Linked DNA regions of Arabidopsis thaliana. The protein of the gene in region 2 interacts with the protein of the main gene of each other region in a pairwise test. Each region holds a gene or a part of one and is shown on either strand. Other genes may lie near its edges.

Region 1 (6,449 bases), on a different chromosome or scaffold from region 2:
TTAAGTATTAAGCACGATGGTTTTATTCTCGTCGTATGAGAAGACTAATTTAAATACATGTGATCTACTTGTAAAAGAAGCAACCGTTCATTCAATCTCCTATCAGAAAGAATAGTAATCTCTTGAGATTTTTTCTTAAGATAAAGATATGCCAAATATTTAAACAGTATTATGGCGTCACTGACTATTATGACGTAAGAGATTGACTTTTCCATATATTGCAACTTTCTGGAGCCCCGCACATAATCCCTAATAAGTTTTACTTTTGGGCCTTGTTTATTCACTGATCCAGCCCAATGTTCAAATACAAAATTCAGACACCCCAAAGGCCGTATTATTGTATTGTTTTAGACTTTAGACCTTACAATAAGGCCTAAAATGATAACATATTACACATTTCAATTCCAGATAAAAAAAAGAACCGAAAATTTTAATTATAAACGCTATCAAATTGACATTTTCACAAGACTGAATCAAATTTGACACCTCCACGTACACAAGCAAAATTATATTTTGGGTTTTGTATCAATGTGCTGGCTGATTTTTTTTAGCAAAACTGTCCTGTAACATCTCTCCAACTTGGTTTGAATTCGTTTTAACATTAGTTTGGTGACAAACATAACGTTATTGAATTTTTCATTTTTCCGTAATAATCATTCTGATTTTTTTCTTTTCAAAATGTTGTTACTAGATGTTTCTTTCCCAAGAATAATATCTTAAATCAGTAATCACTACTACCAGTAAACATAAATGGTACGTTTCTCCTCATTCTACGGAATTTTTAAGAAGCAATGATGATGATTAATTGAGGATGTGGACAAGAATCTTTATATATTCGCATTCACATGCCATAACTTTCAAAGTCTATGAAAAAAGATTCTATTGCGTGTTTATATTCTGTGGTGTGTACTGTAGTTCCAAACATAACGCTTGTACTACGTTCATTTCCGGAAAATATCTAAGAAATATGGAGTCATAAATATTTATTAACCAATTAGATGTTTTTCCTATGTTCTAAATACATTTATGGTAATCTTTGCGGTCAAATATACGAACTTTAACAACGACGTTTAACAATATATCTTTTGTTTTATACATATCAAGTTTTGATATACGGACGATAGATATTTATTTTCAGAAAACCAGTAGTTGTCGTAGTCACATGGTTTGTTTTTCGTTGATCAAAATTTGTTAATGTTATTCATTTAGAATTAGAGACTGTATATCGAATTTGGTACTCGGTTCTAAAAAAAAAAAAAACTCAATATGATTTTTTATACATTCTTTTTCTTCCCTTTTAATCTGTAAGAAGAATAGTAAAGTGAAGAAGAAAAAACTATTCATTATATTGTAACATACGAATACGACTCACAATTAACTAAAGTTAAAGTGTCTCATTGTATTTGGACTTTGGACATTATTCTCCATTATTGCATTGTTTCTTTCTTTCTTGATTAATTATGTAAAGTTGAAATGATTTGAAGATGCTTTCCGGATGTAAACAAACTAAACTTTACTTTACCAATAACTTTGTTTTCAGAAAACTCAGATATTTATCTCTAGTTTCTCGTATAAGTCCCAATGAATCTAAGATTTCAAAAACCAATCCTATATTTGTTTCATATTTACAAAAAAACACCAAATATTTTTCCCCAATTATGCCGACATTAAACTCATCTTTTTACATACAAAATCCCAAATTAATATCCGTTTTTACCTTTACTTCATGAAAGCGAAGATGGTAAAAAGCAGAAACATTTCGAGATATTAATTTGATTGTATAGGCCCGTGAATAAACTCGTGGACCCAAATCGAAAAGATAACAAAATTTAAAGATGTACTTAATTCTCTGAAAAAATTCTGTACGCAAACACGAGAAAGAGAAGAGAGACATACACACACAATACACATACGTGGTTTGAGAGGACAGGAGCAAAACGGCAGGTGTCACTAATCCCATAGGCTTCTCTCTCTGTTCACTGTCCTTCCGCACAAAAAAAAAAAGTATTCATTTTTATATTCTCACGGTTACTTCGAAATCTAGCTTTCGTTTTCTTTTTTTTTGATTTAAACCAAAAGGGTAAACAATGCTTTATGATTGCTTAGTGACGCCATTGAAGCAGCGGCTCACTGATAGTGGCTTCTTCTGCCTCCAATTCCAAGTTGCTAACCCTAGTTTTCATCTCTCTCTCTGTATATCATATTCTCTCGTACTTTCTTACTTTCTCTTCTACTTGGTAGAGATAAAAAGTAGTCAAATTTTATTCAAAGTTTTGATTTTGACATCTGAGGTTTCACCTCTGTTTTTTTTTTCTAGAACTCCTTTGGGTATGTGTCTTTTACGTCACTAAAGGGTTTGTTATAGTCTTAGGTCATGCTTTTTGGTGTTATCTCTCTCTGTTTTATCTTTTAGCTCACCAAGTGATTGTGTCTGATTTTCGAATTTTCAGGTGGATTTTGTTTCACTCACTCATCGTCGTTGATCAGTGACTCTGTTTTTGCGAAATTCTCTTCAGATTTCTTGATAAAAGATAGAAGACGGAATTATGAGTGGAGCTGTGCTTGTTGCTATTGCTGCTGCTGTTGGCAACTTGTTACAAGGATGGGATAACGCAACTATTGCAGGTGATTGATTATCTTCTGTATCCATAATTCTGTTTATGAAATTTAGGATCGATAAAGTCAGGATTTTTATGGATACAATTCACAGATCTTTTAGCTTATCTCTTTTGCTTGTGTGATGGATTTTAAGTTTTCTTTGGGTACTCTGCAGGAGCTGTGTTGTACATAAAAAAGGAGTTTAATTTGGAGAGTAATCCATCAGTGGAAGGTCTAATTGTGGCGATGTCACTTATTGGTGCTACTCTGATTACAACATGCTCTGGAGGGGTAGCTGATTGGCTTGGTCGCCGTCCCATGCTAATATTGTCCTCAATTCTCTACTTTGTTGGTTCTCTAGTAATGCTATGGTCTCCGAATGTTTATGTGTTGCTCTTAGGAAGGTTGTTAGATGGATTTGGGGTTGGTCTTGTGGTCACACTTGTTCCTATTTATATATCTGAGACTGCACCACCTGAGATTAGGGGACTGTTGAATACGCTACCGCAGTTCACTGGCTCTGGAGGGATGTTCTTATCTTACTGTATGGTTTTCGGAATGTCGTTGATGCCATCACCTAGCTGGAGATTGATGCTTGGTGTCCTTTTCATCCCTTCCCTTGTCTTTTTCTTCCTCACGGTCTTCTTCTTGCCCGAGTCCCCAAGGTGGCTCGTGAGCAAAGGTCGAATGCTTGAAGCAAAGCGGGTTCTTCAGAGACTGCGTGGTCGCGAAGATGTGTCTGGTTAGTCTTAAATCGTTCTGACTCTAATTCTTTCAATGAAACCAATCTTTTCTATTGAATGTTCTTATGTGGCAATGTATAGGTGAGATGGCTTTGTTGGTTGAGGGTCTTGGAATTGGAGGTGAAACAACCATAGAGGAATATATAATTGGTCCCGCGGATGAAGTTACTGATGATCATGATATAGCTGTGGATAAGGATCAAATTAAGTTATATGGTGCAGAAGAAGGGCTGAGTTGGGTTGCTAGGCCAGTCAAAGGAGGAAGCACTATGAGTGTTTTGTCTCGCCATGGAAGTACAATGAGCAGGAGGCAAGGCTCATTGATTGATCCTCTTGTCACACTGTTTGGGAGCGTTCACGAGAAGATGCCGGACACTGGAAGCATGAGGAGTGCCTTGTTCCCACATTTTGGGAGTATGTTCAGTGTTGGAGGGAATCAACCAAGACATGAAGATTGGGATGAAGAGAATCTTGTTGGAGAAGGTGAGGATTATCCATCCGACCATGGAGATGATTCTGAAGATGATCTTCATTCTCCGTTGATCTCACGTCAAACGACAAGCATGGAGAAAGACATGCCTCACACTGCTCATGGAACTCTTTCTACCTTCAGACATGGAAGTCAAGTGCAGGGAGCTCAAGGGGAAGGAGCGGGTAGTATGGGGATTGGAGGTGGATGGCAAGTGGCATGGAAATGGACGGAAAGAGAAGATGAATCGGGACAGAAAGAAGGTGGGTTTAAACGGATATACTTGCATCAAGAAGGTTTCCCAGGATCTCGACGTGGCTCAATTGTTTCATTGCCTGGTGGTGATGGAACCGGTGAGGCAGATTTTGTACAAGCGTCTGCTTTGGTTAGCCAACCAGCTCTTTATTCCAAAGACCTTCTCAAAGAACATACAATTGGTCCTGCTATGGTACATCCATCCGAAACAACTAAAGGGTCAATTTGGCATGATCTTCATGATCCTGGAGTCAAGCGTGCATTAGTCGTAGGAGTTGGACTTCAAATACTTCAGCAGGTAGTCTAGATAGCCACATCAAAATTAGTGAATCACAGAAGAAATAATGCGGTTTATGCTAATTCTATGTTTTCCTGCTTCCTCTTGGAAATGCAGTTCTCAGGCATCAACGGAGTTCTTTACTACACACCGCAAATCCTTGAGCAGGCGGGTGTCGGGATCCTACTATCGAACATGGGGATTAGTTCTTCCTCAGCATCCTTACTTATAAGTGCATTGACAACCTTTGTGATGTTACCTGCAATAGCTGTTGCAATGAGGCTCATGGATCTTTCTGGTCGAAGGTGATTAAAACTTAAATTTCCTTTGTTCTTACAATACACATAAACGAAACAAGCTAAAATGCGTTATGAAATGTCTTTTATTTTATATTTGCAGGACCTTGCTTCTCACCACGATACCAATCCTGATAGCATCTCTATTGGTTTTAGTAATCTCAAATCTTGTTCACATGAACAGCATTGTGCACGCGGTCTTATCAACCGTAAGCGTTGTGCTCTACTTCTGCTTCTTCGTGATGGGTTTCGGTCCTGCTCCAAACATCCTCTGTTCAGAGATTTTTCCAACTCGAGTCCGCGGAATCTGCATCGCCATCTGCGCACTCACCTTCTGGATCTGTGACATAATCGTCACTTACAGTCTCCCCGTGCTGCTCAAATCCATTGGACTAGCTGGTGTGTTTGGAATGTACGCAATCGTATGTTGCATTTCATGGGTCTTTGTGTTCATTAAAGTCCCGGAAACTAAAGGCATGCCACTTGAAGTCATCACAGAGTTCTTTTCTGTTGGAGCTAGACAAGCTGAAGCTGCTAAAAACGAGTGAGAAACTGAAAGACTTGTTGAGATAAAAAGTTTGTGTAATATTCATGTGGATTTGTTGTTGTCTTTTTACTTTGTGCAGTAATAATCATCTCTCTCTGTTTCGTCTTCTTCATGTGGGGAGAAAAAAAAGTTTCAAACTTTCAGTTACGAATCTCTTTATTACCATTTACCATTTGCAGAATCCATAGAACAAATCCGTAAACTTTCAATTACATACTTTCGATAAGTCTAGCTCCGACTTTATCAAGTTTCTTCACAGAAGCAGTAGATTTCAAGTTTCCGATCTTCAAGAACACTTGGACCATTTTCTCTCCGATCTCGTAACCTTTCTCCGCCGTGTCAATCACTGCAACCGCAGTTATGGTGCGACCAAATGCTCCAGCTTCTTTCCCATTCAAAGCAGAAAGTGATTTATTCACCTATAATTCTTGAGCAATTCAGCGTCTTTCCTCGCTTCTTCTCCTTTCATTGCTCAAACTCTAAACCTTGTAGCCTCGAGCTCTGTGATTTGTAGCCTCGAGCTCTGTTTCTGCAATCACACAAGCTGCTCTATGGTTTGGCTACAATCAGTCGCTACACGTTTCAAAGCTAATGCCAAATATATCATCCATTGTTTTCTTGCGAATCTTGGCTAATGAGGGCACGTGCGAGACTCTCATTGCTCTAAGCTTTTTAAGTGGAAAAAGGAAACAATCCAAAATTTGTTTTAGAAAAGGAAATAACAAAGAAAAAGGAAACAACAAAGAGCCGTTAAGAAAAAAGGAAACTTTGAATCCCAAACACAAACGATGTGTCTATAAATTGAGGAACCCTTCTCAGAGATAGAAAATTCTTAAGTGAGAGAGAGAGAGATGAAATTACATACGCAATTGCTCTGATTTTCACCATTCTCTTCTTCGATTCCTGTTTCCTTCGCTTCTAATTCAACTCTGATTCTTCTTCTTCCTCCTTTGTCTCTCGTTAATGGCGTTACGATATCTTCTCTCAGTCTCCGTCGTCGGAAGTTTTCTACTTTTGTTTGAATTCAAAGGATTCCGGATTTTGTTTACCCTGTCTTCAATGCAATGGTTCATCGGAAGATTTTGCGTTTTCTGGTTCATGATTCATCGGATGATCGGAGGCTTTTGGGTTTATCCGGTTCATGATTCATCGGATGATCGGCGACTTTTGGGTTTCTCCGGTTCATGATTCATCGGATGATCGGAGGCTTTTGGTTTATCAGTCACGGACACGCACACGGGGAAGACGGACATGGCGGTGGACG
Region 2 (4,819 bases):
CCACCATCCCGCAAGCTTCATGCATTTCCTTGAAAGGTTTAAAGTAAGACTCACATCTCTTCGGGCCACCAATCTTTTCCTCATTATGCAGAATTTCATTGAAATCACCCACCATACACCATCTTTCTCTCCTTCCAACTCCAATTATGCTTAGTCTTTCCCAAACAATCTTTCTTTTTTTAAAGTCGGGGTCACCATACACACAAGACAGAAAAAAGTTCACCGCACCAAACTGCACTTGAAGATCAATCAAATTCTTATCAGCAAACTTGATATCGATCTTAACACTTTCCTTCCAAAAGATAGCTAAACCACCACACCTTCCAACAGGCTCTATAGAATACACTCTATCATAACCTAAAAATGTATGCAAATCAACAAGAACATCTCTACTATTCATAGTCTCCATCAGAAACAACATCTCAGGGAAATACTTTTTACGCAATTCCTTAAGACGAGGGAAAGCCAAGTCTTGAGACCGTCCCAAGCCTTGACAATTCCAGCTGATAATGCTCATTGCGCGGTGGGCAATCCCCCCTTTGGGATCACCTCTAAGGGATTGAGTTTTGTGGATTTTGCAGTGCTAGTTCCCTCATCAACTGCCTTTCGTTTCTCTTTAGCACCATGACTGAGACCTTTCTTCAACTCTTGTGATGCAGCAAGACCTGAAGCCGGTAAAGGATTAGCTTTCCTCTGATTCTTAGTTGGCCTTTTTCTTGCCTTTGCTTTCTTAGGCTTAATTCCGGATAAGCTAGGTTCAAAGAACCCAGCTTTAAAAACCGCCGAATTATCCTGAAAAGGCTGAGACAAAGCAAGAAAATTGGCATCCACATCAAAGGCATTAGGGCCAGCCTGATTTAAATTCCACGAATGTGAAGAACTTGAAGTCCCACCCTCTTCACGCAGATTGGGCTGAGCTAATACTTTTCCAACATTCCTCAAGTTAATCCCTTCATCAGCATAGCTAAAGAAAACTCCTTTGTCTTTAGACAAGTCCAGATGAACCACAGGGGCTGGTTCATGACTCAGCATTGACTTTCTCAGAACTGGATCCTTCTCTACTTCTCCAACAGACTTTTTCACCTTGTTAATCCTCAGCAGCTTCTCAGTTTCATCAGAGACCAAAAGATATTGTCTCATCCCTTCTAAAACATCTGCAGCGATTCTCGGTCTGCCCGTCAACTTGTCAATCCCAACTTGATCCTCTCTTAAAACCCCAAACAAAGGGTCTGATTCTTTCAAAACAGGGGGTTTCTTAGGTCTCTCCACTGGTTTACCAGAGCGTCTTGCCAAAGCAGCATCTTGTCTTGCTTTTATGAGGACAGGGCAAACATCTCTCTCATGAGTCAAACGTTGACACTCATAGCATCTCTTTTGAACCCGCTCATACTGAAAACGCACTTCTAGTTTATACTTAAACAATAATACGTCAAAATAAAATTTTCAATTTTTAGTTTCCCTTAAGTTTATTCATAAAAGTGTTTATACTTATTATACATGTAATGTGACGTTTTTAACTGAATAACAGTTAAAGGGTCTTACGACGGTTAGTTAAATTATAAACAATTTTAAGTTATACACTATTTAATTACTTTCTCGACTCATAGTACTTTCTTTATTATACAGGAATTGTGGTATATAATGCAACTAATTTTAACAAAAATAAAATAAAATCATGATAGCACAAAATAGTAATCTAAAATCATTATCTGAATTAACACGATTTAAAAAGGATTATTACACTAAGAATTAATAACAAACAATTACTAAAAAAAAAACTTTTAGCTTATTTAAAAGATGAAAATTAGCTTGTATGGATCGTGTCATTTAAATTTAGTAGCTAATAAACCCTAATAGTTGACTTTTGATTTCTGTAAGATAAAATAACGAAAACAGTGATATATAGACATGAAACCGCATGTTTATTGGTTGTTAGTTGTAACTTTAGATTATGTAATCATATTAGAGGATTAAAATATAGCTCGTGAATCACGTCCATTTAAAATTATGATAGCAGCTGTACAAATCATAAAAATAATACAGCTCCTCATAATCAATCACTCATCTGACTAGACTATATAAAAAGAATATATACATATCACAATCTATTTATCGTGTTCATTATTCACGCAGCAAATATAGCTTTAATATCAAAACTAAATATAAATAAATACATATAGCTTAAAATCCAGTTTCCTCCGACAAGAAAATGGCGATAGCCGAAGAAGAAGCTGCACTTATAGAAGATTCCGTCAGCGACTCCGTTGACCACCGTGGACTTCCTGCCGGAAAATCTTCCACCGGCGGATGGAGATCCGCCTGGTACATTATAGGTAAAGAACAGTTTTTGTGATTTGTAAATTGTCTCATAAACCATTATTTTTTAAACATTTTATTTTATTTTTTTGGTGTGGTTTTTTAGGTGTGGAAGTTGGAGAAAGATTTGCTTACTTTGGGATTGGTTCCAACTTAATTACTTACCTCACCGGACCTCTCGGACAATCAACAGCCACCGCCGCCGTGAACGTGAACACATGGTCAGGAACCGCCTCGATACTTCCTGTTTTAGGAGCTTTCATTGCAGATGCTTATCTTGGTCGTTACCGTACCATTGTTGTTGCTTCCCTCATCTACATACTTGTAATAACGTTCTTGTCTCTTACTTCAATATCTTGATAACATTTTAGAATTTTCACTAAAATTTGAGGGGATTTTTGTTACAGGGACTAGGACTATTGACCTTATCCTCTATCTTAATCCTAATGGGATTATCGGAGCAACGTCAACATAACCGCAACGCTTCTGCTAAACCGTTTTTTTGGGTGAATATATTATTCTTTTGTTCTCTGTATTTGGTGGCGATCGGACAAGGCGGACACAAGCCATGTGTTCAAGCTTTTGGTGCTGACCAGTTTGATGTGGGAGATCCAAAGGAGAGAATAAGTAGAGGATCGTTTTTCAATTGGTGGTTCTTGAGTTTATCCGCGGGAATAACTTTGTCGATTATTGTGGTGGTTTACGTTCAAGACAATGTTAATTGGGCTCTTGGGTTTGGTATCCCTTGTTTGTTCATGGTCATGGCTCTTGCTCTCTTCTTGTTTGGAAGAAAAACTTATAGATATCCAAGAGGAGATCGCGAGGGGAAGAATAACGCTTTTGCGAGGATCGGTAGAGTTTTCTTGGTGGCGTTCAAGAATCGGAAACTGAAGTTAACACATTCAGGTCAGTTGGAAGTTGGTTCGTACAAGAAATGTAAAGGACAACTTGAGTAAGTTCACAAGTCTTGAATCTTTTGAGTTTTGGTTTATTGTGACTTGAGTATAAAGTTTTCTTTATTTTTACTAAGGTTCCTAGCAAAAGCGTTGCTACCAGGAGAAGGAGGTGTAGAGCCATGTAGTAGTAGGGACGTGGAAGACGCGATGGCTTTGGTTAGGCTTATTCCGATATGGATCACATCAGTAGTGAGCACGATTCCTTACGCTCAATATGCTACTTTCTTCACAAAACAAGGCGTTACGGTGGACAGAAAAATCTTGCCGGGTTTCGAGATCCCTCCGGCTTCTTTTCAAGCACTCATCGGTTTATCGATTTTCATCTCAGTTCCAACTTATGAGCGTGTTTTCCTTCCGTTAGCTAGATTGATTACCAAAAAGCCTTCAGGGATCACAATGCTACAAAGAATAGGAGCTGGAATGGTGCTCTCCAGCTTAAATATGGTGGTTGCAGCGTTAGTAGAAATGAAACGGCTCGAGACGGCTAAAGAACATGGGCTTGTGGATAGACCGGACGCAACCATCCCAATGTCCATATGGTGGTTCGTTCCTCAGTATTTACTACTTGGGATGATCGATGTATTCTCACTAGTGGGGACACAAGAATTCTTCTACGACCAGGTCCCCACGGAGCTAAGGAGTATTGGTCTTGCACTTTCTTTGAGTGCGATGGGTCTTGCGAGCTTCTTGAGCGGTTTTCTAATCACTGTGATTAATTGGGCTACCGGGAAAAATGGCGGCGATAGCTGGTTCAATACTAACCTGAACAGAGCCCATGTCGATTATTTTTACTGGTTGCTTGCTGCTTTCACTGCCATTGGGTTCTTGGCGTTTTTGTTATTATCCAGGCTGTATGTGTATCGCCGTGTAGATCAAGTCTAAGAAAAAAAAAGTCAACGTGTATCTACTTTCATATCATATTTGGTTATTCATAACGTGGTTAGAAACTCTTTAACCTATTTTTTATTCAACAATTTTAGTTTATTAAGATGAAATCTCTGGAAGTTAGCTTGGAACACAGCTGGATAATATACACGATAAGGAAAAGACTATACACCAAACATGAAAAAATATACATTTACTGGTGTTGAGCCATGTAATGGTAGGGACGTGAAAGATGCGATGGATTTGGCAAAAGAGCCACATGATCAACACGATATACCAGACATGAAAAGTATACATTTGCACAGTAATGATTTGTGTATTCAAAAATTACACAAGAGAGGGAAAGAGAGTACCTGCGATATTTAAACGAGAGATTTTGGGTTTAACTGGTGTCGAGCCTTTTAGAGACGTAAGACTTTGCAACATACAAGTAGGAGGCTAAGCCAATGAAGCTGAGACAAGCGAGTAACCAGTAAAAGTAATCGAGATGAGCTTGGTTCAGGTTGTTTGCGAACCAACTCGCTTGACCAGATTGGCTTGTCGCTTTCTCAATGATTGATATCATGAAACTGCTGAGAAAGTTACCAATACCGAATATGCTCAAGTACAGAGCCAACCCCACACTCCTCAGCTCATTCGGGACTTGGTCATAGAAGAACTCT
Region 3 (5,557 bases), 5.4 Mb from region 2:
AATCGAGGAAAGAACGGGTGGTTGATCGAAGAGCTGGCATTTGAGAAGGGAGAGAGTCATGATTCTCGTATCGAGTGAGGGAGAAGAGTCCTTGATGATGCTTGTTGAGAGCAGAGACTGATCTATGCTTCAGGATTCGATTCAACGTCGTCGCCATTTTAGTAGAGCTTAAACCCTATTTGTTTGGTTATGTCTCTCTGCCGGCGAACCAAACACGCTTGAAATTGAAAACGAGTCTAAAATCCTGAACCAGATTTTTGTGTGGGTAACCAATCAAACCGATTTTTTAAATCCGGTTTAATTATAGCCCCCAACTTTTGGGCTTCCGTTTCTAGGAATTGTTTTGCGTTGGGTTTCAAATGCTCATATTCCAGGCCTGTACTGTGATTTATCAATTTTCTAGATATTTATTTCATCTGTATTTATTTCATTCAAAATTAATTAATTTAAATTATGTAAAAATATTGTTATCAAAATTTGAATATTATTTTCCAAATTTATAATCATAAACATTTTTCTAAGAAAAAAAAAGGCTTATTCTTAAATATAGAAATAACAATCTCACTTTGCTTTGCATGTTCTTTTATACATCCGCAAACAACTTATACGTATTGGCATCTATTATAATCTGTCTAACCGCCGCTACCATAGCAATCACCCCTAAACACGAAAAAACCACGGCGATCACAGTGTTGATCCAAAAAATGAAACTTTTTTTAGACGGCTTGAAAGTAAAGTTGAAGAAAACTACAGGAAGAACGAAGTCTAGAGGTATAAAACCGAAAGCGCCTAACAAGGAGTTTACATCTCCAAAAAATGGAAGCATTGCCGCAACGATTGTAGCCATCACGACGAAGAGGGAACGCACAACTAGTCGAGGGATGACATTGCGGATAGAGAATTCTTTCTTTGTTGGATCGCTGATCACACTTTCCAAAATATCGTTTATAGGTTGTAGGTATACCTGCATAACTCAAAATTAGTAACAATGTATATATGTGACGAAAATAAAATAAAATAATAACAATGTATATATGTGAAAGAAAAACGTTAAAAAAAAATTGTATTTACCACAGCAACGGCCGAAAGTTGAAGGACAGTGAAGAGATTGACGAGAAAAATAAACCAAGTAGGGACAAAGTAATGGTTTGTCTCGGCATTTAAGAAATTGGTGAAGATAAGTCCATTGGCTTTTTTACCGAATGCCCAATATCCTGTGATGGCTACTGTGAAAAATGTCATTATTACTACAAGGTAACACATACACAACCCTTTCATCATTTTTCCTTTCACTGGTGCCGATATTGTTGCCTGCGTTGCAAGAAGATAGTATTCATATATCAAATACTCTATATATATAACTGAGTCGATCATGTGACTGCCCTTTTGTTTTTGATGAATAAATATTAAAGTGGTGTTCTAAACAAAGAATGGAAACAAAATGAAACCTGAATTTCAGGTATAATGCCATTGCCGTATGTAGTAGCAATAATAGCCATAGCATTAAAGATTCCAAACACTCTAGTTTCTGGATCACCAACTATAGTATAGTCCTTCTCTGGTGCATTTGGTTCTTTTCCTGATATTTAACAGAAAACTCACCTTTTAAATGTAACAATATAAAAGGTTTAAGAATTAAGAGTAAAGTGGTTTAGTAAAGAAGAGTACCAATGTAGATGGATGCAGCAGCGGCAGAAGCACTGTAGAGGAGGCAGAGGAGGAGAGACAGTGAGTTGATGTATCGTAGAGAGTGAAAGGATGGGAATTGTGCCAAAACCAAAAGTAAGCATCCAAAAATAATCACAAACTCAAAGAGTTTCATTTCCCCATTTGGCTGCACTACCAAGTACATTGCCTTTAGGCATTGCCCTCCCAAGAGCGCATTGGCAATAACCACACCATAGCACACCGCCATTTGTATTGGTCCAACGTAGTACCTTCCCCATTTCGGACCTTATCAAACACACCCCAATAATTGTTAAGAGGAAAACCAAACTGATCTTAACTAATCAAACATTCGGAACCTGTATTATACTTTACCTTATCCTAATTAAAGTTGTATACAGTCCCGAAAAAGTGGGCTAAATCGAATTCCTATAAATCCTTCAGATTAGCGGTGTACTCTAATGAAAACTAAAATCCAAATCGATGATTCGATGCATAATGGATTTAGTTTCATATTAGCTACTAAAACAGAATTATCCAGTAAGATAAAAAATTTCAATCAATTTTTTCTCATCATTTTGTAGTTTTTGCATAGATAAATACGTTAAATTTTGTCTTAAAAGTTTTGTTGACATGTGGATTTCCTTGGTAGTCGACAGTCAAAGCGTAACTATCCTAATTTGGATCGAATCCTATGTAGGATCTGAAATTTAGAATATTCTACTTTTGAAAGCAGATCGAACCTATCCAACTTTACTTATATAAGATTAAATTTTGGTCGGCACCAACGTTTTATGAATACTCTTCTGACACGCACATATTTTTAAAAATTGAAATTAGTTTTGAAAGACAAATTTCTGCATCAAAAATGAAACAAGACACGGAAAGAGACAGCTATCTAACGCATGAAAAAGTTGAAACTTAACAGTGGTATGAGTGGAAATGTGGAATGGTCAACACTTCGATCCGGATCCCAACAAAATTGAACCGAAGCAAGCCATATCAAAAAATTCACTATAATATGAATTCCATATGATTAGTTTTTTTTCTTCTTATAATTCGAAACAAGACCAAACAGTATAGAAAAGTATTTTTTTAAAAATCATAGGTTTACACAATACATATATTGTGATATTAACCAACCACGAACAAAAGTTGAGCTCATACCAATGTTTACTTGGTTTCTTATAAAATTCCGTTGTTCGTAATAGCAAACGTGATTATAAGTATTCCATCTCGCGTTTTCACACAAAAATTAACTTTTTTTTTTGTTCAAACAAATTATTACGTAGGACATGTACCTTCCTTTATTGCGTGGATGAAATTATTGGAGTGGTACCGGCCGTGTGTCAATTATTACGTATAGAAGTTCATATAGACACGTATGTCTACGTACAACTATACATCTCAATCTTGAATGAAATTCTCTTAAGGTAAATTTGTCGCAGCTTTGATTATAGGAAAGAGCAAATGTAAAAAGAAAAAGAATTACTGAGGATGTGATGAGCCATGTCACGGAAGCGGAGGTAACGGTTGCCGAGAGAAGCGTGGTGTTCGAGAGTAAGAGAAAGAAGAGTGTACGAGTAGAAAGTAACGGCTGCTCCTCCGACCAGACAAGATATCCCGGCAGCCCATCCTAAGAACTTGAAGGCGTACGGTAGACTCAGTAGCGCAGGCGCCACTATAGACGTCGTCAAGTGGAATCCGCAGTGCCACCATGTCCCTAGTTTCCATCATCATCATCATCATATCTTCTTCAAATGGGTTATAATAGTATACGTTAAGTTTCATAGATTTCATAATTAATAAAACGTACCTTTGGATTTAAGGACGAAGAGAGAACCAGCATCAACTACTTCTTCCCCTCTTTTTTCTCCATCTCCTGATCTCTCTTCTCCACCCATCTCTTTATCGCTCTCTTTGTTTCTCTTTCTCTCTCTCTCCCCCCACTAGGTGCTACTCACTTTTATAAGTCCAAAAAACACACTTGCTATCATATCATCTTTTACCTAAAAGCATTTCGTAATAATATTAAACATTGCAGATTTATAGTTTATCGATTCTCTTCTGTGTCAAACGATTTATGAAGTTATAAAATGTGTATATCTTGATTATTTTCTTTAAAAAATATATGATAGAATATGAAAATAAATGGAGAATTCAAAATATTTTGGAAACAAATCTCTTAAATCTTATTTTTTATATATAATTTCAAAATAATCGATTTTGGAGACAATCTTAAATTTTCAATACATCCAACAAACAGTAATAGAAAAAGCAAATTGGATAATAGTAATAACATATCAATATAACATGTTAATATGTATATTAAATCCTTATTACAGTTTTACATTTTCATTATAACTGACAGAATTTTTAAAATTGAAAGAAATTTCTTTCGGTTAATAATAATAATACTAGATTTTCACCCGCGATATACCGTAGGGACAATTTATATTTTAAAATTAGTATATATAAAAGTTTGTAATTTGTAACAATCTATGTAACTATCTATAAAATATTTTTATTTTATAGTTTAGAATTGTTATTAAGTAACGTCCTGCCAAACTCGTCCTGCCAAACTCGTCCTGCCAAACTCGTCCTGCCAAACTCGTCCCGCCAACCCATCCCGTAAAAAAAGCTCATTTATTTTATTAATGTTGATCTTCTTTATCATATGTTTATGAATCATTGTCTAAATATTTTGTAATTTTGTAGTAATTAAATGTTATCAAATATCTCTGCGGTTTGATGATTATAATTGAATTGTAATAGTCATGAAGAAAAACAATATCAATAATGATAATTTTGTAGTAATTAAATGATATTAAATATTTTGAAAGTTTTATTTTAGTAACCAATCGTGTAGTTAATGTAAAGAGATTTTAAAAAAATTTATTAAATGTCAAATATTTAATTCGAAGATTTTTTTTCTAATTATCAAAAACAAATATTAAAATCCAGTGGCAATCATTGTAAATAATTCTCAACTACAAGATTTATTTCACAAAATAGTTGCAAAAATGTATATATAGACTAGATTTTAACCCGCGGTACACCGCGGAGATAATTTTTTTTATTTAAACTAGTATATATAAAATTTTGCAAATTATCTCTATCTATAAAATATTTTTATTTTATAGTTTACAATTGTTATTAAGTAACGTCCTTCCAAACCCGTTCTGCCAAACCCGTCCTGTAAAAAAAAACCGCGGTACCCCGCTAGTTGAAATTTATAATTAAAATAAATATTTTATGGATTGCGATTGTGTTTTAGTTTGTCAAACAAAATTTTGTTTTAAATAGTTGTCGAAATCTAGTTCAAATTTTGGAGAAATAAGATTTAGTGAATTGATAAGAAATGTATTTAGTTGCGTTTGCTCATTTTAAGGGATTGCAATTGTCTTTTGGGTTGTCAAACATTTTTTGTTTTAAATAGTTGCTGAAATCTAGTTCAAATTTTGGAAAAATCTGCGTGATATATGGGATTGAAATATATTTGGAATGTTTTTCGTTTGTTAATCAATTTATTGCTGAAAAAACTAATAATTAAAAGCCAGTGACAGCCATTGTAAATAAGTTTCAACTCCAGGATTTATTTCACAAAATGGATGCAAAAATATATATATAGATTATATCTATATATATGTATTTTAAAATCTTTCTCACTTTAACCTCAACATCCAAAGTTTATATGTATATATAGTTTATTTGCTCGATATGCAAAAGCGTCTGTAGTCCAACGGTTAGGATAATTGCCTTCCAAGCAATAGACCCGGGTTCGACTCCCGGCAGACGCATTTATATTTTTTAACAATCTTTTCTGAAAATTTGAAAAGACAACATTTTGCATACACCAAACATATGTACATATGTTGTGTTCTTGTTGGAC

Evidence for each region.
Region 1: the proteins of AT1G22550 (region 2) and TMT2 interact in a protein complementation assay, tested with the Arabidopsis thaliana proteins (one large-scale study listed by BioGRID).
Region 3: the proteins of AT1G22550 (region 2) and AT1G08230 interact in a protein complementation assay, tested with the Arabidopsis thaliana proteins (one large-scale study listed by BioGRID).

The regions. Positions count from the first base shown.
Region 1 is NC_003075.7:16,795,169-16,801,617, reverse strand, and holds TMT2 (tonoplast monosaccharide transporter2), read left to right. Parts: upstream 1-1,806; 5' UTR 1,807-2,546; coding exon 2,547-2,625; intron 2,626-2,773; coding exon 2,774-3,340; intron 3,341-3,422; coding exon 3,423-4,363; intron 4,364-4,459; coding exon 4,460-4,647; intron 4,648-4,741; coding exon 4,742-5,186; 3' UTR 5,187-5,394; coding exon of another isoform or gene 5,395-5,604; 3' UTR 5,605-5,670; coding exon of another isoform or gene 5,671-5,745; 3' UTR 5,746-5,835; downstream 5,836-6,449. Other genes in the region: AT4G35295 (homoserine kinase, putative / HSK), read right to left, coding at 5,395-5,604, 5,671-5,745, 6,235-6,285. UniProt on the Arabidopsis thaliana protein: Sugar proton-coupled antiporter which contributes to vacuolar sugar import (e.g. monosaccharides including glucose, sucrose and fructose), particularly during stress responses (e.g. in response to cold).
Region 2 is NC_003070.9:7,965,943-7,970,761, reverse strand, and holds AT1G22550 (Major facilitator superfamily protein), read left to right. Parts: upstream 1-2,069; 5' UTR 2,070-2,209; coding exon 2,210-2,333; intron 2,334-2,422; coding exon 2,423-2,640; intron 2,641-2,723; coding exon 2,724-3,268; intron 3,269-3,346; coding exon 3,347-4,154; 3' UTR 4,155-4,262; downstream 4,263-4,819. Other genes in the region: AT1G22540 (Major facilitator superfamily protein), read right to left, coding at 4,540-4,819.
Region 3 is NC_003070.9:2,583,132-2,588,688, forward strand, and holds AT1G08230 (Transmembrane amino acid transporter family protein), read right to left. Parts: upstream 3,839-5,557; 5' UTR 3,570-3,838; coding exon 3,482-3,569; exon of another isoform or gene 3,389-3,481; coding exon 3,158-3,388; exon of another isoform or gene 1,954-3,157; coding exon 1,669-1,953; intron 1,580-1,668; coding exon 1,449-1,579; intron 1,312-1,448; coding exon 1,072-1,311; intron 965-1,071; coding exon 584-964; 3' UTR 513-583; downstream 1-512. Other genes in the region: AT1G08220 (ATPase complex subunit), read right to left, coding at 1-157. UniProt on the Arabidopsis thaliana protein: High affinity gamma-aminobutyric acid (GABA) transporter probably involved in GABA uptake into cells.